Linked DNA regions of Drosophila melanogaster. The protein of the gene in region 1 interacts with the protein of each later gene in a pairwise test. Each region holds a gene or a part of one and is shown in the gene's direction. Other genes may lie near its edges.

Region 1 (5,767 bases):
AAATAATTTATTCATAACAAATAATTATAAACGAAATTGAATAAATGGATCTTGAAAATTATAGAAAACATGCTGAGTTTTGTTTGCGAAGAGCCCGCAATGCCGGTTTATTTTTTTGTTGTTAACTTGGCGTTAATCACTAGTTTTATGGCTTAAGCCCTCCACGTTAATTATACACTCACCGACGGGCCCTTAAATATTTATTCAATATTTTTGAATTGATATGCGAGCAAACCAGTTTTACTTCCCCGATAAGCTGGTGAATTGACCTTTAACTACTTTTAATTATATTGTATTGGCCCAAAAAAAAAGGGGCTGAGTTGGAAATTAAGTGATAAGCACTTGCTTTTAGTTTGTAGGGTGAATGGAGAGCTATGGTAACACCTTTAGGTAAATATTTGCACTTAGATATGCATATTTATCAACTGCCATTAAACACTCTCCTTTGAATCATTAAGCCGGAAGCTTGACCAACTTCACTCCAATCAAACCATGTCTTGCCAACTCCCACACTATTTCCAGGTGCAAGGCATCTGGCCTGGTCGGCATCAGTGGCCAAAGCCACGTAACCCAATTAACCGGCGAAGTCGTAAAATGACAATATTTCCTAGAGCAATTGAAGGCTGATGATAATCCCAAACCCCCCTAAGAGTGTTAGAAAGTAGCTCACTTTCGTTACACTGCACAACAAAGTCACGTTCGCTGAGGAAAAAAAAACACTCCAGAAAGCGCTGCACACGAAGAGCAGGAAGAATGCGTGTAATCGAATCTTGAAGACCGAAAAATAAACATGTTAATAATACAATTTTATGATTAATACGCACTGAACTGCAGTGCGAGGTGGTGGGGTAAAGGTGGGGCATTTCGGAGGAGATCAGACTTGATGTTGCTGTTGCGGCGTCGAAAAGTGCGTGGGACGTCTTAGCTCGTAACCACTGAAGATGCTGGGAACAACTCGAGGAGGATTCGGACGAGGAGTGTGTGGAATGGGGCGTGGGGCCAGCGAGGCTTATTTATAAATCACGCACATAATGAAATTTCAGCAAGTGGTCGCCGCTGTCCGAAAAGCGGCAAAATATGCAGCGTTGATGTGGGATAGCATCTCGGGTGTGTCCGCAGCACCGCAACTCCGTGATAAATGCACATCTGCATAATGCCCTCCTCCAACTGTCCGCTGACATGCCGGCGACATAATGACGAACAGGTCGGGCCATTCATTCAACTTCCCTTTCCCTTGGATCCCGATGCTACTGTCGTGTTACGCATCAGTCCCGTGTCAACGGCAAATAGGAGTGGAGGGAGTTCCGAAATGGGGGACACTTGTACTGCATAAGTAGCCATTAATAGGTGCCATATGCATATCATTTTGGGCTCTGGTTTTAACGAGTAGTTCGTCTGTTTTGAATGCCTGCAGAGCGTGCCGTTTATTTACGATCTCCATTTCAAAAGAGCAAAAGTCTGGCCCCATCCACCGAGTTCCTTTGGATTTGGAGGTGGTGGTCGAAAACAAGGATGGACGCATTATCGGAAAAGGGTTCGCACGAATCCGATTTAATGGCCTTAAACGGGCCTACAATGTAAGCATGTTTCGGGATTGAGTTTCAGTTTAATGGCCCAAACGATCTACAATTGGGGCAGCCCAAGTGGGCGACTCCACCATAATAATTGGTGGATAAACTAATGAACTGAAGACAATAAGTAATTACCCATAAATATAATCACAGAGAGCGACTTTTAACCAAAATATTTATTCTTACAAATTACACAGCAGTTTTAAACAATATATTACATAATTGCAACTTAAAGCGCACAAACGAAAACTGCGCTGATCGTTACAGAATATTTAAAATAACATTTTCTATATAGAAAATAAATTTTAAATTTCCTATATTTTAAAGAAGATTACCCATTATAAAATTTTATTTTTTACTAAGGAAGCGGAAGATATGAGATCTGAAAGTTGACTACCACTTTTTCCACTCACTTCCTCAATTATTCAGCAGCGATCTGGCCACACTGTCGATGTTTACGCAAATTTTGCACGTGGGCGTCGCGGCTTACTCACGCGTCAAATCAAAAGAAACACAAACGAAGACAAAATGCCGCGTTTCTCCCAAGAGCAACAACAACAGCTGAGAACAAAACAGAAACGCAGAAAGGCAACAACAAGTTGTCGCTGCTCCAAGTTGCTCCAGCCAACAGCGCTGCCGCTGCCTCAGTCGACGCTGCGCGTCGATCATTCCCTTTGCATTTTCAAATTTTCAGTTTCAGTTCGCGTTGGAACGTTGAACAAGACGGTGCGTGTCCTAGGTGCTTCGATAAGTGATCAGTGATTAGTTTTGGCGATAAATCAGTAGCATCAATCGATCGAACTATCGCGAGAATGTTTCAGTTTTCAAACGCTTCCTAAGTGTGCTTTTGAAATCAGCCCGCGCTGTACAAAGTTTTTTGCCCATATTTTTAAATCCGATCGATCCTCAAGCAGCATCCTCTGCATCCAAGGTGTCCAAGATCGCGTCGCGTTCGCCTTAATAGCATAAAAGTGTTTTAATTTTTATTGGCACGAACGGGCGAGTCAGTTGCGGAGCAGTTGTCGTTGCTGGAGGATTGTAGGCATTGGCGTCGCGTGTTCTCCACCGCGATTCCATAAAATCGACTCCACGAAATCTTCGCGTGTGTCCCCATTCCAAAATCCAGCTTTTCTACCTGGCGCGTATTTCGAAAAGGGTTTAAATGGTCTAATGCATCCGTTTCGTTATCGATTCTTTTAGTGTGAAGATACCCTTGCGACGTGTTTGATCTTTCGCTCTGCAAAAGTACAACATAATAAAAGTGTCTGTGCGGGCGTCCAGGAAAAAGCGGCGGAAAAGTGTGGCAATACTCGTAAAAATAACTCAGGTCGTTTCCATTCTAAATTGCGCGTTGACAGCCGCAAGTGGCGCAAACGAGCCGCACAAACAACAAGGAGCTGTCAGTTCCGTCCCGCCAAGTGGATCACTTGGATCACATCCACATCCGCAGTGGGGGCACCTCTAGAGCAAGAGCAGCGTCCTTGACCACGAGGTGAGTGTGAAGGTGGGCCAGACCTCCGGGCTTCTACATATGCTGCTTATTCGTGTGGCCAAAATCTGGGCTACACTCCGCTCACTCGGAAAATGAGTGCGCCAAGTGGCCAGGTGCGAAGTGCATTCCATATTCAAGTGCCTGGAAGGTACTAGAGCATATTAAGTTGTTCTTAAAGAAGTTGCGTTAATAATGATGCATCATCTCATTTTTAACATATTCTCAGGATCGTAAAGATAAACGAAAGATATACGGAAGTAATCACGACTTGGGTCTATGTTTATTAATATCATTCATTTAGAAAGTTATTAATAGCTAAATGCTAATTTCTTGTTTTCAATCTTAACAGACTGTAGACTAAAGAATCGCATCTTCTAGCTGCACACCCACAGCAGTTTAACTCCTTTTCATTCGACTTTATTGCATGATAATCACCAAGTTGTTGATAGGCCAATCTATGAATATTTTTTATGAGCGCCTCACAAGATTTCTATTCATTTCACCGCCATTTTATATCTGATGATAAATCAAGCTAATTGTTGTTGTAATTCAAATACTATCGATACATATTAATTAGCCACACCCAAGTCAACCGCAATCTGGCGGCAAAATCGGCCTGTGGCATCCTCACCATTCGAGCGACATTAATCTATGGGGGATCTGGGGAGATCTTATCTGCATTGGCGCCATAAATACCGCAGTCGAGTCATAATTTATTAATTACCGGACTTTCCACACGTATTTAAAGCAGATCAGATTGAGGTTTATGCCTTTGCGAGAACTATAATTATGTGGATCATATAAGGTCAGAGCACAGAATATTTTCCCCTCCAACAAATATGAATTGTGATTCGAAACGGCAGCCACAGATTGCTAATGATGTTGACCAAATGAAGCTGGTCACATTCCCCAACAACGGTTAAAATACTTAATTTTATTTGGCTCGATTTCCCAATCACTTTGCAGCTTCTACTGGGCTCTGCTACTCAATTCCAAGCGATTCAATTAAAAGACGCCCACTGCAAAGATCCCCATAACAATTTATAACTGCCTGTTCGAGAGACATTTCAGACTTGCGGTTATTTTATTATTTGAATATATTATTTAGCGGCAGTGGCGTTGTGACCCGAAGGGGTATTAATCTTGAAGATGTAGTAACCAATAGTTGGGAGATACTTTTAGCTAGGCCTATGACTTCGTTGTATCGATGTATCTATACAATAGATAGATACTTTCCCTTCAATAGAGCGGACAAATAAGATCGATCTGTTCAGTTTTGCAATGAGATGTGACAGAAATTCACTGAATAATTATTCAAATATGGAGCTTGGTGTTTTCTTATTCTCTGTCCAAACATTGACACCCCTTGGCGCTCCACACAGAGATGACTCTTCAGACATGGTAATATCTTGCTGGCCATATTTGGAGCTCGAGTTTGACATTATTAAAACATAAATAATATTGCCATTGTTAGTTATGGAATTTCCGCTTGGCAGCGAGTTATGAGTTCATAAACAAATGCAAATTAAGTGGAAAATTGTTGCACCAGCAAATTAGCGCATCGTCAGTGGAAAGTCATTTGGACACCAATATCCGAACCTTCTGCGGCAAATCAGGCTAACAAATTTTAATGCTTTGTATTGACTTCAGTCGGAATTTGCAATTCAAATGGAGCAAAGTCACAATAGCAGCTAAGGCTATTTGTGTTGGCCGTTTGGACTGCGGGCTTCAAAACCAATTCAAGTCGAATGGAGACGCGACTTTGCCTTAATGGTTCATCAACATAAGTTAATGGGTTTTCGGTTTTGGCCTAATGACAGATTAAACACATTCTCAAGCGATTTGACAAGATTGCCAACGAAAATTGCGCCGAAATGTATACTTTTATCCGGGCAAGAATAGTAGCATCTATCACGCATATTATTTTCCTTAGATATTTTGCGAAGATATGCAAATTATTTAAAGACGACCACTGATAGCAAGGTGCGGTCCAACAAACACCTGGTAAAAATAAACATTTAATTATATAGCCGCTGTATAAATTTAATTGATGGCAATATAATACGATTTGAGACAGTTTCTAGCTGCTGGCTATGCTTACATCAAAAAGTAGTCATCATGCATGTTTAGCTCAACGCAAGATTAAAGATTCAAGATTACAGAGATTATAATAATACCATTCTTACGGGTCTTTAAATTGTGATTTATGCGTTTTTACACCTACAATTTCAATCATTTTTATGTACTCTGCTGTTGCGATTGAGCAACTTGGCAGGTGGCAATTACCATACCAGAAATCTCAATCACCCGACTTATAATTGACAGACCTTTCAATATTTTGAAATAGGACTCCATATAACACCTGAAAAGCCACATTTTCAGCTGTCAACTACTGCATTTTTGTCGAATATAAATAGTCAAAAATTGAATGGGAAAACGACGACAAAAAGACCGGGCCTAAATTCAAATCGATACAAATACAGAAATCAATAAAATGACGACGTCAAGTGCCGTCCGAGACTATTGAACTCCACATTGAATCCAATCCTAATCTTGACACTTCCAAAACAACGTTCAAAAAAATGCTTGGACTGCGCCGGAAGTTACACAAAGTCCATTATGATGAAACCAATTTATCAGGCTGCTCGAAATCAATTCAGTTCACCTCGCTCTATTTGGTTGCCTCCAATTATAATAGGCTGAC
Region 2 (4,090 bases), on another chromosome or scaffold:
TCCACTAATTTGCTTTGTAATGAATTCTTCTGGCGTTATAAAATCGTTTTACATAGTGCATTTTGGAATTTAAAAACATTTTTGATTTGTGTAGAATCCACGTGTCTATTAAAATCTGATAGTAATGTCGTGTAACGTTGAAATAGTCATTTAAACAGGCTATATAAACACAAGTCACAGAGCATTCTTACCCAGTTTCATATTGGCCAAATGGATTCCGGCTATTCGTCAGTCTTAATATTGTTGGCAGTTTGGCTAATCAGTAGATGCGGAGCAGCGGTTAGTTCAGTATTTAAACTGATGAACTATCTTTACCAATATATATTTTTTTTTTTTAGCGGAAATGGGAGTACGAACCTGTATTGATATTAACCACCTCTTCGGACGACAGTCTAATAAAATTAGAGTCCAGTATTGTTCGCTTAGGGCGTGGAAAGTTTGGAATATCAGCGCGGGTGGAGTGGAACTATGACACCACTGAGGAGACAATGGTGGGAAAATTCCTTAAACGGTATTCCTTGCATAACAACATACTTTTTTTTTTATATATATAGGTGGAGGCTGTTGTATACCGCAGCAATTCGGGTGATGAGTCCGACTACAAGCTGCTCCCTTGGGCCATTCCTAAGCAAACCTTTTACGACTACCTCAACTCCTACTACAAGGATGTGATAATGAAGAACTTTGCCCCCTGTTCCAATGTGCCGCAGTTCAAGGGCAAATTTCAACCGCCTTGGCCGAAACGAACGTATATCGGTGACAAATGCGTCTTTGAAGCCGAAGGTTTTCCGGATATCGTGCCACCTGGATTCTACAAGATTATTTTCAATTGTACCGGACCTGATCAGCCATCGTGGAGCTTTATCGGAATTTTTAAAATAATAAACAAAATGTTTTAGCTATGTAGCAATAAATATATATCAAATAAAATACGGCCAAATATTTTTTTAAATCCTTTAAAGCGAGCTTATACACGTGTTTTTCTGAATTTGAACTCGTATCTTCGTACATAGATAAATGTAATACAATGATGTAATAGAACATAAACAATAAAAAACAGAAATAAAAACATTTCCAAAATCAGAAACTAAATATATCAGTTACAATAAGCACATACTTATATAAAAAAGTTATGCGAAGTTTAAGTGTTTCAATGGACTATTCGTATTTAATGGCTGTAAATAGTTATATAATCATATACATTTAGGTACTGTGGGAAAGATCTGCAATAGTGTGATAAAATGCCGTGACAATGTGCACATTTTTTTTTATCAATGGACATGGCTATATAAGCATAAAGCCCGATTTCCCAATACTTAGTTTCATATTGTAATTATGTCTGTCCGGTGTTTTATTGCTGAACTTTGTATGGCACTCCTGCTCGTAGGTGAATGCCAAACGGCGGTAGGTTCACAGTTCATATCTTCCATATATCTTGTAATAATTTAAAGAATTATCCAGCGGAAATGGGACTACGAACCCATATCCATCGAAACCCACTCATCCGATGAGAGTTTAATAAAATTAGATATGAAAATTGAGCGAATCAATCGCGGAGTGTTTGGATTGACGCCAAGGTTGAGTGGAACTACGATACGACTGATGAAACCATGGTACGTGTGTCTTACTTGATAAGTTAGTCCTTTGAATAAGGATTGTGATTTTTCCGTAGGTCGAGGCCAATGTCCTTCGAAGCTCGACGGGAGATGTCAGCGACTACAAGCTGCTTCCTTGGGCCATTCCCAAGCAATCGCTATACGAACATCTGAACACCTATTACAAGGATGTTTCGATGAAGAACTTTAAGCACTGTTCCAATATTCCGCAATTCGAGGGTAAATTCCAACCGCCATTGCCAAAGCAGACCTATTTTGGCAACAAATGCGTGATCGATGGCGATGGGTTGCCAGAAATTGTTCCTGCCGGTTTTTATCTGATTGTGATCAAATGCTATGGACCAGGTCAACCCACATGGAACACTACGTCAGTTTTTAAAATCACACCCAAATTAATGTAAAAACCATTATCTTAGATAAACACATTTTTTTTTTAACTGCGCTTATGTTTAATAAAATCAATGGTAAAAATTTGAAATATTTTAGCTGTTTCGATAAGAAATGAGTGTCCTTGAAGGAGGTAAGAAATATTCAAGAAAAATTCAAGATCAGTAACAATTACTAGTGGAAGAGAATTTTCAGTTATTGTGTAAAAAAATTCACATTTCTCAAATACTTAATATACATTTGTAAGTTTGCTCAATTGTAGCTAAAGACCAACCAATAAACAAAATTCATATTTAATATTCAAAGTCCACACATTTTTTCATGTTTTTGGCATGCAGTCTTGTTTGACATGGTTAGCCCAAAATGTAACAGGGAGTTATATAATTAATACATGCAATCCACTGCAGTTTGCTATATAAATGCAACTAAATTGCAAGTTGATGAAGTTTAAAGTCTGGCTAAATGATTTCGTGTTGTTCGTTGCTATTTTTGCTCGCTACGCTGCTGATCGATGGCTGCAAAGCAGGAGTATGCCAGGATATTCTAACAAAATAGGATACTTATAATTTCTGTGCTCATTCCACAGCGTAACTGGGAGTATGAGCCCTTATCATTGACATCCTATAGCTCAGATGAGAGTCTCTTGAAGATCACCACAAAAATTGATCGACTTGGGCGCAGCGATTATGCATTTTCCATGACACTGGACTGGAACTACGATGTGGATAAGGACACTATGGTTGAGATATTGATTTTAATATCAAGTTTCTATTAATTAAGAAAATGGTTATTAATCGCTGGACAGGTGGAGGCAGACGTTCATCACTGCTCATCGGGTGACGAAGACGATTACAAAATGATGCCCTGGTCCATTCCTAAACAGCCATTTTTCGAATATCTAAACGGTTTCTACAAGGACGCGTTCATCAAGAATGTGGGCCATTGCTCCAATATGGTGCAGTTCGATGGCGATTTTGTGCCACCATGGCCACGAAATGTTTACAAGTTGGACAAATGTGTGGCCAGTGGCGAGGGACTGCCAGATATTGCACCAGAGGGTTTCTACAAGCTAGAGTATAAAATGACAGGACAGGTGGATTGGGGTTTCACCCTGATTGTTAAGGTCTCGCCAAAGGTTATTTAATATTATATTATATGCGGCTCTTAAGAAGTTCAAACATTTTTTTTTCTACTTAACAAATTGTACTATGTTGTGTAAAATGAATTTATATTAAATTGTATTAAATTAATATTTATAAAATTTATATTTTTGTATTTTATTTACAACGAATTTATCGTCTACATTATCAACTTCTGCATATCCAAATATGAAAGAAAATTTTTTTAGCCAATGCAAGCATGACTTGCGCGTTGTGTATTTGTGTAATTTGCTAAATTTGGATGGGTGATACCGTGACGATCAGTAAATTTAGATAAGCTTGACATGATTTACACCTATTCCAACTTCAATAATCTAACAATGTGCACAATTGTACACAATGTTTTCGTGTCACAAATGTTTTTAAAAGATAAATCTAAATTGACAGACTATAAAAGCAAGTAGGTTGCAACTTATATTGTCAATTTAACCAGAAATGATTTCGTTTTGCATTTCATCGCTTTTATCAGTGTGTATTTTTGCAAACCTTTACAATGGTTGTGCGGCAAAGGTATGCTAAGAAAGAAATATTCCTAAATATTTCTTTATTTTTTTTTAAATATGGTTTATTGTTTCCAGCCCAACTGGGAGGCAACGCCATTGTCGATTGGTGGCACCACCACAAATCCCAGTGCCATGGACATGAATCTGCGAATTGAGCGCATTTCAAGGTCGGAATTCGGGTTTTCAGGCACATTCTTCTGGAATATTGATGTGGACGATAGCGTGATGGTAATTTCTGTACCAAATATCATTGATTCAAAAGCACTTAAAAATCAAATACTGCTTTTAGGTCGAGATGCGTATTCTGAGCAGTTACTCCGGTGACGAGTCCGATTACAAACTGACTCCCATGTCCATTCAACCGCAGAAATTCACCGAATATGTCAATACCTTTTACAAGGACCTGTTGTTGCCGAATCTGGGC
Region 3 (7,301 bases), on another chromosome or scaffold:
AACCCAAATTGGAGGCAGACGAACGAGATGATACCATATGCAAATTGTAGCTAATTTTCTCTCCCATATATATAAGACCGAAAACGGCTGTTTAAAAGTTCCCAATAGATTGCCAATATTTAAGTCTATATATTTCTGAGAATAAATTGACCAGATTAAATATTAAAGGCCATGTTTTTGTATTGCTTTTTTTATACCCCTTACTCATATATTTAAAGGGGTACACTATATTCGTTGAAGAGTATGTAACAAACAGTATGAAATGTCTCCGACTATATAAAGTATATATATTTTTGATCATAATCAAAAGCCGAGGCGATCTAGCCATGTCCGTCTGTTCGTATGAACGTCGAGATCTCAAGAACTATAAAATCAAGAAGGTTGAGATTAAGCAGCATATAGATTCTAGAGACAAGGACGCAGTGCAAGTTTGGTGACCCATGTTGTCACGCCCATTCTAACGTCCACAAACCGCACAAAACTGCCATGCCCACATTTTTAAACCATTTTTCCTATTTTTTTCACATTTTATTAACTTTGTAAATTTCTATCACTCTTCAAAAAAAAATTTGCCATGCCCACATTTTTTAACCATTCTTCGATATTTTTTCAAAATTTAATAAATAACAGCCCAAAACAGCTACGCCCACATTTTTGAACCATTTTTCAATATTTTAATATAATTTTAGTAGTCGTGTAGATTTCTATCGACTTGCCAAAAAACTTTTTTCCACGCCCACTCTAGCGCCCTAAAGCAGCCGAACCGGTTACGCCCACACTTTCTAACAATCGTTAAATTTTTTCTTATTTTATTGCCAGTATCTTTCGATATCCCAGAAAAATGATGAAATTTCGTTCACACGAACGGGTTTCTGATATTTGGGGAACTCGAATATAGCATTTTTATGTTGTTTCTTCTCGTAAATCTGTGGAAACAAATCGATTCCTTTTCCTATTTTATAATATAAAAAACTTGTACGCTAATCTTGGTACATTTTAACTGCGGTTACAGATCATGAATAGACTATATCAAAAATTACTTGCAAAAAATCGAACAAAATAAACTATGCTTATATTATAAACTTTAACCTTTTCCGTAACAATGCAACCGTTCCCAAAATCTTTATTTTTAACAAATAGAAAATTTTGAATATAAATAAATTTTTCGTATTATGAACTAAATTTTGTATTTAGGTACATATATGTATTAGGGTATTAGCTAATATATTTTTGTTTTTTTTTTTTTTTAATTAAGTTGTGAATATCTATTGAAATGTCTGAAGCAATTCCGCTCCTACCAATACTTTTATAAAAAAGTTCAATATTTTTTTAAATTTCCTGCCATTTCTATTCTATTGAAATTTTTCTATCTTACTCCCACCAGACGTGTAACATATTTTAATTGCTTGAAGATTGACTTTCGCTCACATCCACAGGGAAAACAAGAGAGAATGCAGTAGTCGAGCTCCTGACTCCAGGTACCAGTTAATCAGTTAGAAGCGTAAAAGAGAAATTTAAATATTTTTTAGGAATATTGGTAGAAATGGGGAAAAAATAATACAATAAAAATTAATTTAAATATTGTTCAAAAGTGTGGGCATAACAGTTTTGTGTGGTTTGTGTGCGTCTGAGTGGGCCTGCCCAAACAATTTTTGGCTAGCCGATAGAAGTTTGCAAGACTAAAAAAATATATAAAAAAATATCAAAACATTTTTCAAAAGACGGGTTCCTAAGATCTAATCTTTATACCGACAGACGGACGAACATGGCCAGATCGACTCGACAATTGATCCTGATCAGAAATATATATACTTTATAAGTTCGGAAACGCTTCCTTCTACCAGTTACATACATTTCATTGACACTAGTATAACCCTTTACGCTAGGAGTGCGTATAACAAAGTTACCATATCTGGTTTGTGTAAAAATACTGATGACAGACCGTTCGTCAAGAAATACTGACAGTTATTGTATAATTAGGTTAATTTAAAAATTAATTGAATTTTAGGACGGCTTATATTTGAAATATACTACAAAAACATAAAACTTGGTAAATTTATGAACGGTCTGCTTTCGGAATTTCAGCAGAATCGGTTGGCAAGCAATTCACAACGAAGAGCTATCAGAGCAAACCGAAAACACAAATCAACAATGTTGCAGCAAGAGTTAATACGTTGGTGTAAGTTTACAAATCAGTATTCATTAAATCTAGATAGCTCTTTGCGCTAAGAGTGCGTAAAACAAACAGTTACCATATCTGGGTTGTGTAAAAATACTGAGGACAGACCGTTCGTCAAGAAATACTGACAGTTGTATAATTAGGTTTATTGAAAATTATCGAATTATCGGACGGCTGATATTTGACATATACTAAAAACATAAAATTTGGTATATTTATGAACGGTCTGCTGTCGGTATTTCATCAGAATCGGTTGGCAAGCAATTCACAACAAAGAGCCATCAGAGTTAACCGAAAACACAAGCCTTTTATGCAGCAAGAGTTAATACGTTGGTGTAAGTGTACAAATCAGTAGGGACCACAAATTAACGTTCTTTTACGTATACAATATTTCAGATAAATCCCACAGGTATGGAACACCATAAAGACACCGGTCAATTGCACCACTACGTGCAGTACGGACTTTCCGAAAGTGCACAGATTTTCGGATGCGCAAAAGAGCATCACATCTTGAAGACGCTCTGAGGAAAACTGCTCCAAATCTAGTCCACCAGCATTAAACTACCGGTGGCTTCAATCTGGTTTAGGAAGAAGACCACAATAAAGTGATCAAAGATAATCAGGTCTTCACCAATTTAAAGTCTACTACTTCAACGAATGAGATAGTCGTCCTGCAGGCAAGGAGTCATACCAGTTGGCCGAGCAATATCAACAGCAGCAGATGGAATCGCGTGATGAATCTAGTATCTCCGTCAGGAAGACGGGCACGTGTACAGCGAGGACAACAGTGATTTTGGAGTGGAACAGGTGGAAAACCAATCCCAGTTGAAAACCAATCCCAGTTCGATCCCAATGTTGTGGCCTTTGTGCCTAGCTTTGACGCACAGAAATCCTCTCCCCCGCAGCCTGTTGCGGAAGTTTATCTACTTGGTGTTCAGCCCCGCTAACTTTTACCGCATGGCACCCTTGACGACCTTGTTGTGGAAAGTCTGCGTAAAGAATTTCAAAATTTCTGGAAGGGGAAACCTGTAGATGCAGCTGAGCTGTTAAATGATTTACAAACAAGCCGACATCTCGGGAACCATTAAAGAGACATTTAAAGTCAAAAAGTGGCCAACTGAAACCCGTTAAAATCCGCTTGCGACCGCAACTTGGCCCGACTAAGGCAAAAAATAACATAATCCTGTCAAGTCATGCAGACAGGGCGATTTACATTATAATTTTAAATGGCAATGGATTAGTCATCATCAGTACCTGCTTATCTGGTTTTCCTGATTTTTAAATCAAATCTGTGACTGTATCTCTTACCTTTCCTCTTGTACCTCGTTATTATAAAATGCGAAAACCCTCTGCCAAAGGACACTATAAAACGAATTTTTTAAAAGACGCCAAACAAAATGGCACTTTTTGTTGAGAAGAAAATATGCCGATAAGAACGTTTTACTTGTAAGACGCTGCAGAAAGATTAGGAACGAAAACTATCGACAATGTTTACTTGTATAATCTGAGCTTTCTAAAACACAAAAATAGTGTACTTTTACCATACGCTTAATTTCGAAATTAATCCGGGATATACAGTTGGGGATCCAGATTTTAAATTCGTGAACACAGCTGCTGGAGTAGGGCATTTCCTGATCGATCTGTTAGTTTTCGGACTTTTACTTTGGTTGTTGTAAACAATATCCGCAAGTTTCTCGCAAAGTGGGTTGCGTTGTGCCGTGCCTCAGTAGAGCACTACACACTACCTTCGATTGAGTTCGCTGGGATTTGGATTTCGTTCACAGTCCAAGTTTGGACCGTGCTAGGAGAAGATAATGATCCGATCACTCAATTAACTTCATGCACCCAGTGACGTCATCAGTGCTTTACTATTCGGTGTCTATATAGTCTATTTTGTTTAATTTCTTACACCCTACATTTCGATACGATTCGATTTTCGTTTGGAAATTGTCTGAAGGTAAACAAGCATAAATTGGACGTTCAAGCGTAAACAAATCGGTTTTCGGAGCAAAATACAAAAATCGTCAGTTGAGAAAGTCTCTCAAATGGCGCAGTTCTGCATTCTTGGAGTCCTCCTCATTCTTTCTGGAACACACTGCTCGTGGGGATTCCATGAAGAGACACATTATCCGTGTGCCTTTATCGATACGGCAAACATAACGGGGAGCTACGGCTTAGATGGCCCATTTGTGCACAACTGGACGGTGATTCCCCGTCACTTCGTAGCCGTGTACGACTTTGTCATCGAAAATGGCATCCGCATCCCCGCAAGCAGGCATCTCAGAGCCTGTGTCTGTAAGACCAAACCCTGTGTACGGATTTGCTGTTTACGGGGAGAAATCTACGACCTGGAGAAGAGGCAGTGCTTAGTCCCTGTGGCCGGGGTGTCCAGCCTTCCCTCCCATAGCCATATGGAGGTGGAGTTGGGCAACGGCAGTCTGCGTCTAGTGAAACTGCAACCCCGTTTTAGCATCCACGTGGAAACACCATGTGAGCACATGAAAGCCGTAACCAAGGGCTCGGAATACGTTCACTGGACACTTCATGAGGTCGGTTGTGAAATAAACCTTCCATCACATTAATGGCTTTACATCGCCTTTTCAGAACGGAACCATCAGCCACCGAGGACACATATTTTCTAAGCATTACTGCTTCACTCCGCTGCTCCATGGGAACTCCACCTGGGAGTGGCAGCCATTGGCCTGTGCACCAGAAAAACTATATTTCGTCTTGGGGGTGCGGGAGTGGACATACGCCATATGTAAGTAGCAAGAGGAAACATTTTTCCAGCAACTTTCAGCAATTCATTATCCCAAATATGCACAATACTGTTTTCACAACAATACATAAAAGTAATTGCTAAAGCACCAAAAAACAATCGATGATAGCATTAATAGTTTGATAGTCAGAATTTAATTTACCCAGCGTATTCACTTTCCAGGTCTCTTGATAGCTATTCTATCAATGTTTATCGTGCTGATGGTCTACCTTATGTGTTCGGAAATGCGCAACAGTTTCTACGGTGTGGCCATAAAGGCGTACGCCATTTGTATGATCTTGGGATATGCCCTACTGGCTTATCTCACGCTCCACAACCCAGCAAATCTCTCAAATGCGGCTTGTCGTATTCTACGTAAGTGGTAAATTTGAGTATTCTGTGATATTTAAACATTCCCTTCTTTTTTTTTTTTAGCAAGTTTGGCGTTGATGAACTTGGTGCTTTCCTTTTACATTCTGAGCTTTATTGCATTTAAGCTGTACTTGAGCTTTTATGGCGTTGTCTTCACAAAACTGATGTTTTGGCTAATATTTACTCCCATCGTACTGGTAGCCGTGGGCTGGTCTTTCTTTGTGGGTTTCAGTTATTACGGCTCTAGGCTCATCTTCGGAGGCGATACATGCTGGTTTGATCGTAAGCACTGCCAATCCATATATGTTTTATAATAATTAATTGGTATTCCACATCGCTAGCACGCAATTGGTCCGTTATGATATATTTTTACGCTCCTGTTTTCGTGGCTTGCGCCATTAGCGGTTTCTTCTATGTCCTGAGCCAGATCTACATCCGTGATCAGCCAGATATCGAGACGGAGAAGAGCTTCGAGTCCATAGAGAAGAACCGATTCAAATCATTTTGGAAGTACTTTGGCTACACGGCAGTCGTATGGGTCGTTTGCATATGCTCCTTTGCCTTTAACTACTACTGGGAGAACAGATCCCACCTTAACTACGCTGTAAGCTTCTGCATGGCCTTCCACGGGTTTGCGGCCCTCTATGCGCTGATTGGAAAGAATCAGCAAATCCAAAATTTTCTGCGGCGCATAGATAAGTAAGTTGATAACTATGAATTTTAAGTACTACTGTTAATATATACTGTTGCAGTGGCGAAGATACCTGTGAAAACTCAGTTCCGCTCTCGAGTTTTGGTTAACTTTTCTTGTTGTGCCCACTGTAGCGTTAGTGTAACTGGAAGCAGTTGAGTGTATCGACAATATCTGTGCAATGTTTTTAAAATCACTTATCAGCATAGACAAAAACCATGTATTTTAAATGTAAAATTTTGTAGGATGTGTGTAAAATATATTTGTAAAATTTGAACTCGAACAAAAAAGTACACTTCTACCCTTTAAACGAAATTACGATAATAAAGATACAAAAAATAAATATATCTGAAAAAAAAATCAGGTCTGGAATTTCTACAATTGTTAAATATGATAACAAGTCCCAACAATCCTTTCAGTATAGAACAAAACATGGAATATACTTAAGCCATGTGAAAGAACACATAACATATTAATATTCTAAACAATTTGAGCAGTTTTCTTGAGTTTACGCCTCCAACAATTTATCCTTCACCTTTCTTGAGTTCCAAATTCCTGGACCGTGATCAAGTTTCTCCAGTCTTATTTCAAGTCCCGATTTTACTGTACCCTATCCGCATCGCCAAGCCCGGTGTTACTTCCCCGATCTCTCTATATTATAAATGTGCGCCGATTTTATTTAACATCAGAGGTCAATGGCCGCAAAACAGACAGAGAGAGAGAGAGAGAAAGTTGGTCAGAGCCACGAGAACTGCATCCCGACAGGGGGCTGTCAAGAGCAAGGAATCAAGTGGAATGTTGGTGGTGCTCTTTTGAAAAGGCTTCGCAAACTTTCCCCCTGTACACCCCCTTGCCAAGGCCTAATCGCAGAAAACCCACCCGGGTCGGAGTCCCCAATTCATTTTCATGCCGATTATGCTTCGGGTTTTGGTCCTGCTCTTTTTGGCTGGGCGTACAGCAGCAGGACTCGGGGTACACACTAAGAGAGGTCTAAGAATATAGAGATAGACAAGGAAAGCAGATGGATCGATAAAACGTAGTAAAAATGCTCGTAGTAATGGAAGCTGGAAATAACATGGCACAAACAGGCCCCAAACTGCATCGACAACACCATCACAATCCAGACGTGCGCACTGGAAAATCCCGAGAGGTAGGACATGTTTGGCGCGTTTTTCGACTGCATGTGTGCGAGTGTTCTGTTTTGGTTAGATACGTATGAAAAAGTGAAAAAGCCTATATTGACCGCGCCCGGTAGATCGCATAGGCAATATCGATATGGGAAATCATTGACTAACATTTGC
Region 4 (6,904 bases), on another chromosome or scaffold:
ACGAAGGATTAATCATTTGATCACTCACAGTTGAAAAATGTAAATAAAATAAATATGTTAGCACGAGTTATTTTGTTTACCCAATCTAATATTTAAAGGCCAAGCATCTAACTAAACCCTGCGAAACAGGTTAGCTATACAATCAGACCATATGTTGCAGACCTTTATCTATGGGATTCTACGTGTAAACAAACAAAGCTAATCAGATGATATATGTGTGTTAAACATTCAATTTCCAGTGCTGAGACAGTGAAAGCTCTCATTGAAATGGCTAATTATGCAGTGCTATTATCTCGACCGCAGCTGTATGAGTCTTTTTTGAAAATAGAAAATGCTTAAATGCAGCACGCACGCACACATGCAGCGGCAAAAGGGGCAGCACGGGGGATTCCCCTTTTGAGAGGGGGTCTTCCGGAAACAAGCCAAACATATAGAACACATAGAACGGTGGTGGAAGGAGAAGCAGAAGCAGAAGAGGAGGCAGAGCCAAAAGCAGAAGCGACATGGAAACTAGGTCAACTCTCGACGCCATTGGAGCAGGCGAGTGTCCGACCGAGAGCGACGACAATGACGCCCGTCACACCCAGGCGCAACTAGCTCAAGGCCAAATCCGCACTGCAGCGGGGGGTTTGGGCGAGTCCTTCAACCTTTCGTTGGGCGAATGGTGGGGTGGGCTGCCGTTTTTAGACCGTCCTTGGAAGGGATTTGGATGGGATCTAACCGCATCGCATCTCACTTACCCGCTGCGAAATGCAATGGTGTGGATTTGCGTCCCGCCGTATCCCTGGCGTTCACGGTCTGAGGCGTTATTAGCTTCTTCACCTTGGCGATCTCGCCCGTTTTGCAGGCCTCGAAGAGCTCCCTCAGCGGATCGTTGGCCATGACCGCATCGAGATTAACGCTCAAAATGGCCCGACTTCGGCTGCTGTTGGCCATTGTTGTGCTTGTTTGCTACGCTTTGGCACACACACGCCCCGAAAAAAATAGGCAACAAAAAACAAGCGCAATATTCAGTGGGCTTTCGGGTTTTCCACTCCCAGTCCAGTTCTCTCCTCCAGCAGTTGCTCTGCCCGTCCTACACAAGCCTCGCCGTTGTCCGTCGCTGGCTTGCCCGCATCCTGTATCCAGGTGTCCTGCCTATGCCGCAGGAGCAACAATTTGCCACTGGCTGCCACGCGACCAGCCCTCGTTTTTGCTTAATATTTAATGCACAATTGCAGACCCAAAATCAATAGGATTTCTTTGGTTCGACACAGCACGGTTGCAAGGATCGCGGTTGGCTACGATTCGTTTTTACTGAGACTGCGACCAACTCTGGGACTAGCTCCCTGGTACTTGGCCTCCAAAGCTCTGGGCACGGACGATTATTTCCGGATTAATTCACTGCTCCGCGAAATATTGCATTGTTTTGTGACCGAGTAAGAGTGACCGTTCGCGGGGTGGTCGAATATTCCAGGTTGAGTCAAGCGGTGTGACCAGGCGACGGGGCAAGCCATTCTGAAAAAATACTGAAGTCCTCGAATCACATAAGCTTTTCCATTAATTATATTTTTTAAATTTAATAGCTTATGTTCTCACAAGGTTTTACACAAATTTGTGCTTCAGTGTGCACTCACTATTTGGTGAAAAGCGAAAAGACGTTTGCATCTATATTGTGTTATAAGAAACAATTTTTTTTGTTAACCAAATAGACAATATTCAATTGGTGGTACAAAAATTAAGATCATCATTTTTATGAGCTTAAATTAGAATTCTTAAATTAGAAAAGGCCATGTAGGAATTTCAATTATCCTAATATAAGCACATAAGCCTATTACTAGGGAAAAAATCTCAAAAAAATTTTTTAAAATAATAGCAAGTACCTGTTACAACAACATGCAATCCCAATTGGCATTGCTATCGATAGCTTGAAAAACACCTGTTTGGCCATCCCTGGTTGGCTGTTGGTGCAATCGATTTTTGGCATCGACTGGATGCCCATGCCAACAACAATGTTTGCTTTTAAAATTTAGATTAAATCCGTTAAAAATCCGTGAAATCAAAACAAAAGCAGTGGAGCTGCTTCACAACAAGATTATCGTGCTTACTAGAAAGTGAAGAACCACGGAGTTACCGCGCCGGAAGTACAAAAGTAATCACCAAATCGGAAATCCGAAAAGTGAATCAGAATTTTTCTAGCTCACACACACACGCGCGCATACCCGCACGCCCAGCAAACACTCATGCAAGCGTATGGAACCAGTCGTGTTGTTGTTGTTGCTGTGAATAAGTGCAAGTGAAGAAGAAGCAGAAACTGTGATCGGAAAATTAAGCAAAAAAGAAAAACAGGCGAGGAAAAGTGGGGTTGGGGAAAAGCAGACGGAAAAGTGGAAAGGCGGAGTGCAGCTAACACGCTTCGCTGGCTGCGCGACAGCAGAACGCCAGTCAAGCGCCAAAAACCATTAGTAGAACCCCATTTCCAGCTGGAGCGGCACAAGAAAGCAATTTTCTGGTAGCAGAAACACCAAGAAACGAAAATAATTGGCCGATCTTTAGAGACTCGACTCGACGACAATTAGCCGGAATGGAGCTGAAAGTTTGGGTCGAGGGCATCCAGCGGATAGTTTGCGGCGTTACAGTGAACACCACATGTCAGGTATGTGAGCTACAGCAGAGGTCAAAATAATAGCACTATTATCTTGTTAAAGCATTTTACACTGCTGCAGTGCTGTTAATGTGACCCGAACTGTATGCGCTCTGTTTGCTAGTCAGTTTGCCCTAATTATCGTTTTATTTTCCACAGGATGTGGTTTTTGCTTTGGCCCATGCCACTGGAAAAGTGGGCAGATTCACTTTAATCGAAAGGTGGCGCAATAACGAACGCCACCTGGCCCCCAATGAGAATCCAATGAAGCTGCTGCTCAAATGGGGCGAGTATGCAAATGATGTGCAGTTTATATTACAACGTTCGGAAAACAAAACACAGCAGCAGCAGCAGCAACAACAACAGCAGCAGCAGAACAATAATAATAATAACAACTATGCTGTGATGACAACAACAAAAAAGCCGCTGGGGCCGAACAACAATAACAATAATAAGCCAGCGCCCACTTTGCTAAAGCAAAAGTCGAACGTCGAACTCAGCTACCGCACAAAGGAATTGAAAAAAAGTTTCGGGTGGGTGGTTTTTATATGCTAGTTAGTTTGGAAACTACCCCTTAAAGCGCTTACCTAGCCCTAATTGTTAATAGGCTAACAAACTGTGTTTAAATATGCACCTGTGCGGCTACCATCAACTGACAAAACTTGTCTCTTTCAGGGGCCACGATGCCAAGCAGTTTGACAACATTGGAATCGTCAAGGGAATTCCGCAGCAGCAGCAATTGCAGTCACAACAAACGGCCATGGGAGCACCGGCGAGTCCACCACAGGAGCAGCTGACACCGCAGGATAACAATAATGTAGCACCACTGGTGCCAAAGCATGAGAAATCGCTGTCCAATCCGCTGGACATGACCAGCACGGGTAGCAATCCACCCGCACCTACAAATGGCTACAATGACTTCTACAACAATAACAGCAGCAGTAATCAGCATATATACAGCCAGCTGAGCAAATCCAGCAATGAACTCCGACGCTCCAGTCCCAACGAAATGTACTACAACAATAATAACAATATTGTTAATAACAATAACAACTCACCGGAGCTGTACAAGCAAACGCCGACGATTTCCGCGAATGGAGCTCTAGTCCCACCACCATATCGTGACCCGCCACCCCCGAGAAACAGCCCCATGTGCCAGGGGCAGCGTTTGGCCAGCAGCAATGCGGACACCATGTCCAATGCCTCCTCCTCGACGAATCCGTTTCTCAGCGACTACGATCAGCATAGCAGCCACAACACTAATAGCATCAACAATAATAGCCAGGCCATGGAGGAGGGTGAGCCCATGTTCCAGACCACGCAGTATAACGATTTGCTGCAGCTCATCAAGTTTCAGCGGGAGAAGATCACAGCCCAGCAAATGGAATTGCAAAAGGTACAAATATTCAAGTTTCTAAATTGATTTGGAATGTTATTATTTTATTTTTGTTTTATCTGCTTAGTTCGATACGGAAATAGTTTATTTGGAGAGCAAAGAACGCGACCACGCCCACGAGTTGGATGCTATTTCGCGTGAGATTTCCAAGGCGGATCAAATCTTTCGGCAAGGAAGCGAACAGCTCCAGACTCTGCAGTATGTGGAAGAGGAAAACGAATTGGTCAAGCAGCAAGAGAAGACTTTGAAATCAGAAATAGCTCTACTGCGATCCAAGCTGGCCAATTGCGAAACAGAGCTGCTACAATGCAAGAACAAAATGCGCTTGCTGATGGATGACATTGAGCTGGAGCAGCAACATCAACAGCAGACCAATAGGTGAGTGCATAGCAATTTACTTGCTTTGTTTTAAGTTTTTCACACTTCTTGGTTGTTTCAGGCAAACTGTGGAGCGAGACTTCTTGATGGAAATGGAGCGCATTCAGAGTGAAATCGACCAGGCTCTGCACAACACTGACACTTCAAACAAAACTGCAGATAGTTTAAAGAAGGAACTACTCATGATCGAGCATGCCATCGCGGACAAGAAGCGGCAGGTGGAGCAGCTGGTCAACGAGATGAAGGAGGTGAATTTGCAGAGCCTGACTGTGACCACCACGGAGGAGATCAAGCATCTATTGGAAGGACCCAACAAGCAGGGCAGCAGCCGGCGGATCATCGGTTCGCCCAGGCAACTTGAAACGGCGGTTCCAACCAGTAAAAATCCTCATGGTGTGTGGGTTTAAGTCACACATACCCAGAACTATTTTTCTAAACGTATTTCTCCTCCAACAAAATAATGTTTTTGGGAACAAATTGATCAACATATCTTGAATGCATAATGGAGTTGAAACGAAATGGATTCCTTATGAATATCACAATTTTAAACAATATTCTAAAAATATTTACAATAATTAACGTGCTTGATTGTTGTTTTAGTATGTTTACATTCCAATCACACTCTATGGATCTCTCAATGCAATGATATATGTTACAAATTTGAAATCACAATCGTTTTATTACTCTACATTCCGCACTGTACTTTGTATTTAATAGTAGTTAATGAGTCCCATATTCACATGCCCTAATCTTAATTTTGTGTGCTATACTTTTGGTTAATTTTTGCTGCTAGTCTACGTGTTAACAAAAACCCTTTCCAATCTCTACAATTCGCCATTAGTTGTTAACTTGACAATGAATTTTAATTGTTGCAATAATTCGAGAGTATCGTAATTTAAAAACGCCTTTCTAACGAATAAGTAGTGCCCTTAGTGATTTGTCTCCTACAGAATTATTCATTGTAGAATTCACAATTCGAATTACACAAAACTTATTGTACTTAGCAATTAGCGCAGCTTTAAAAAAACAAATTAGCAATGCTTTGTTGAAAAGTTTAACTTTTAAAGTGCTTAGCCTTAGCCACCGGATATCGAAACAAAAGACCGAAGCATTAACAATTGCAAAGGTATCAAGCATTAGTACATACATAATTGCTAGCGTACAATTAAAAGACAACCCACAAGTCGCTTTGATGTATTATGTTTTTAATTAGCAATATTTAATATTTACACAAACTGATGATGATAGTGAACTACAAAACACCAACGGAAATGCAATTTATCGAATATTATATATTACTATTACATTTAAACTAAAAACGATTTAGAACAAATTGTAATTGCATTACATCTAATTAGCTAATAAATACATTTTTATGATTTTCTCGAAACGAACTGTCTGTATTTACATTTGGTTTTGGTCTTTTGAAACACCACGAATTTTCCGCAAATGAAATCAACGGTCAGCCCGAAGTCCTGTGCCACACGAAGCTAGCTGCTCGGCCGCTTTTCTTGTGCGGAGGGAAAAACAAAATCAGCAACACATGCTGCCACCAGCTTCAGTTGGCCGCTGTGCTCGAACGCGTTTGGTCCTTTTGTCCTTGTCGATATCCTTCGCTCGCGACTCAGACTTCCTGGCGAAGCGCGCGCTACTTTCAATTTTCAAAAAGTGTCGCCCAGTGAACGGGTCAGTGAAAGTGGCCCGTAGGAAATAAAGAGGCAAAGGAGCATACATTTGAATGGTCCGTTTTTGGGGGCATCCTATCGCATTGACACAATCGACAAAGTGGTCGAGGGAGAGCGTTAAAGTGGCCCGCCAGCAAAAAGGACGAAGGAGCGCTCCGTTTTTATGGCCCTCTTCCACACCAAATGATGTTCAATTGCGATGATTGCGATAATGAGAGTCCCAGTTTCTCTGTTTTGGGGATCATGCATCGCCGAGACAATGTGACCTTTTGCGGAAATTATGATTTGTCTCCGGCTGACCTTGAGCCCCCCCGCTGGGCGATGTAACCCCCCCCCCCCCTTGCCGCCGACTCAATTAAGCTAAATTTAATCAGCCGGACAAGAAATGCTTCGGAAAAGGACCCTCTAATGCCGGTCACATATTGCACTTCCATTTCGTAGTACATTTGGCAAACCTATAACCTTGAGTTTGGCTTAATGTCTTGCATAAATTGGGGAACCAAGTGGCTGCTTAAAAATAGAACCATTCCGACTGGAGCCAACTAAAATTATTCATTTCGATTTGCTAGACTCAGCGGGGCGAACAAGTATAGCCAATCTTTATGACTTCCTTTTAACTTATATCTTGGTTTTTTCTTGCATCACAAATTTTAGTTATTATAGCAGCTTTCAGACGCGTGAAATAATACTTTTAATAAATTTATATCCCCAATAACTTTAAGCCGTCTGTGAAACTTAAGCCCGACGTCTGTCAAAATGGCGCTTTATGCATATATTTTTTATGGACACCAAATCAATTTTATCCAGCGCTGAAATCGAAAC

Evidence for each region.
Region 2: the proteins of Tsp (region 1) and CG18539 interact in a two-hybrid assay, tested with the Drosophila melanogaster proteins (one large-scale study listed by BioGRID).
Region 3: the proteins of Tsp (region 1) and mthl8 interact in a two-hybrid assay, tested with the Drosophila melanogaster proteins (one large-scale study listed by BioGRID).
Region 4: the proteins of Tsp (region 1) and RASSF8 interact in a two-hybrid assay, tested with the Drosophila melanogaster proteins (one large-scale study listed by BioGRID).

What each region holds. Positions count from the first base shown.
Region 1 is NT_033779.5:6,705,583-6,711,349, reverse strand, and holds the start of Tsp (thrombospondin), read left to right. Parts: upstream 1-2,263; 5' UTR 2,264-3,063; intron 3,064-5,767.
Region 2 is NT_033778.4:18,295,735-18,299,824, forward strand, and holds CG18539 (uncharacterized protein), read left to right. Parts: upstream 1-2,446; 5' UTR 2,447-2,465; coding exon 2,466-2,531; intron 2,532-2,589; coding exon 2,590-2,742; intron 2,743-2,808; coding exon 2,809-3,147; 3' UTR 3,148-3,169; downstream 3,170-4,090. Other genes in the region: CG18537 (uncharacterized protein), read left to right, coding at 211-279, 339-491, 555-899; CG18538 (uncharacterized protein), read left to right, coding at 1,336-1,383, 1,462-1,617, 1,673-2,017; CG18540 (uncharacterized protein), read left to right, coding at 3,599-3,673, 3,742-3,894, 3,956-4,090.
Region 3 is NT_037436.4:19,969-27,269, forward strand, and holds mthl8 (methuselah-like 8), read left to right. Parts: upstream 1-2,459; 5' UTR 2,460-2,514; intron 2,515-2,575; 5' UTR 2,576-4,224; coding exon 4,225-4,728; intron 4,729-4,783; coding exon 4,784-4,940; intron 4,941-5,120; coding exon 5,121-5,312; intron 5,313-5,372; coding exon 5,373-5,591; intron 5,592-5,650; coding exon 5,651-6,008; intron 6,009-6,061; coding exon 6,062-6,110; 3' UTR 6,111-6,340; downstream 6,341-7,301.
Region 4 is NT_033777.3:25,659,852-25,666,755, forward strand, and holds RASSF8 (Ras association domain family member 8), read left to right. Parts: upstream 1-1,943; 5' UTR 1,944-2,563; coding exon 2,564-2,635; exon of another isoform or gene 2,636-2,782; coding exon 2,783-3,156; intron 3,157-3,298; coding exon 3,299-4,019; intron 4,020-4,086; coding exon 4,087-4,397; intron 4,398-4,458; coding exon 4,459-4,804; 3' UTR 4,805-5,789; downstream 5,790-6,904. Other genes in the region: Tnks (tankyrase), read right to left, coding at 741-936.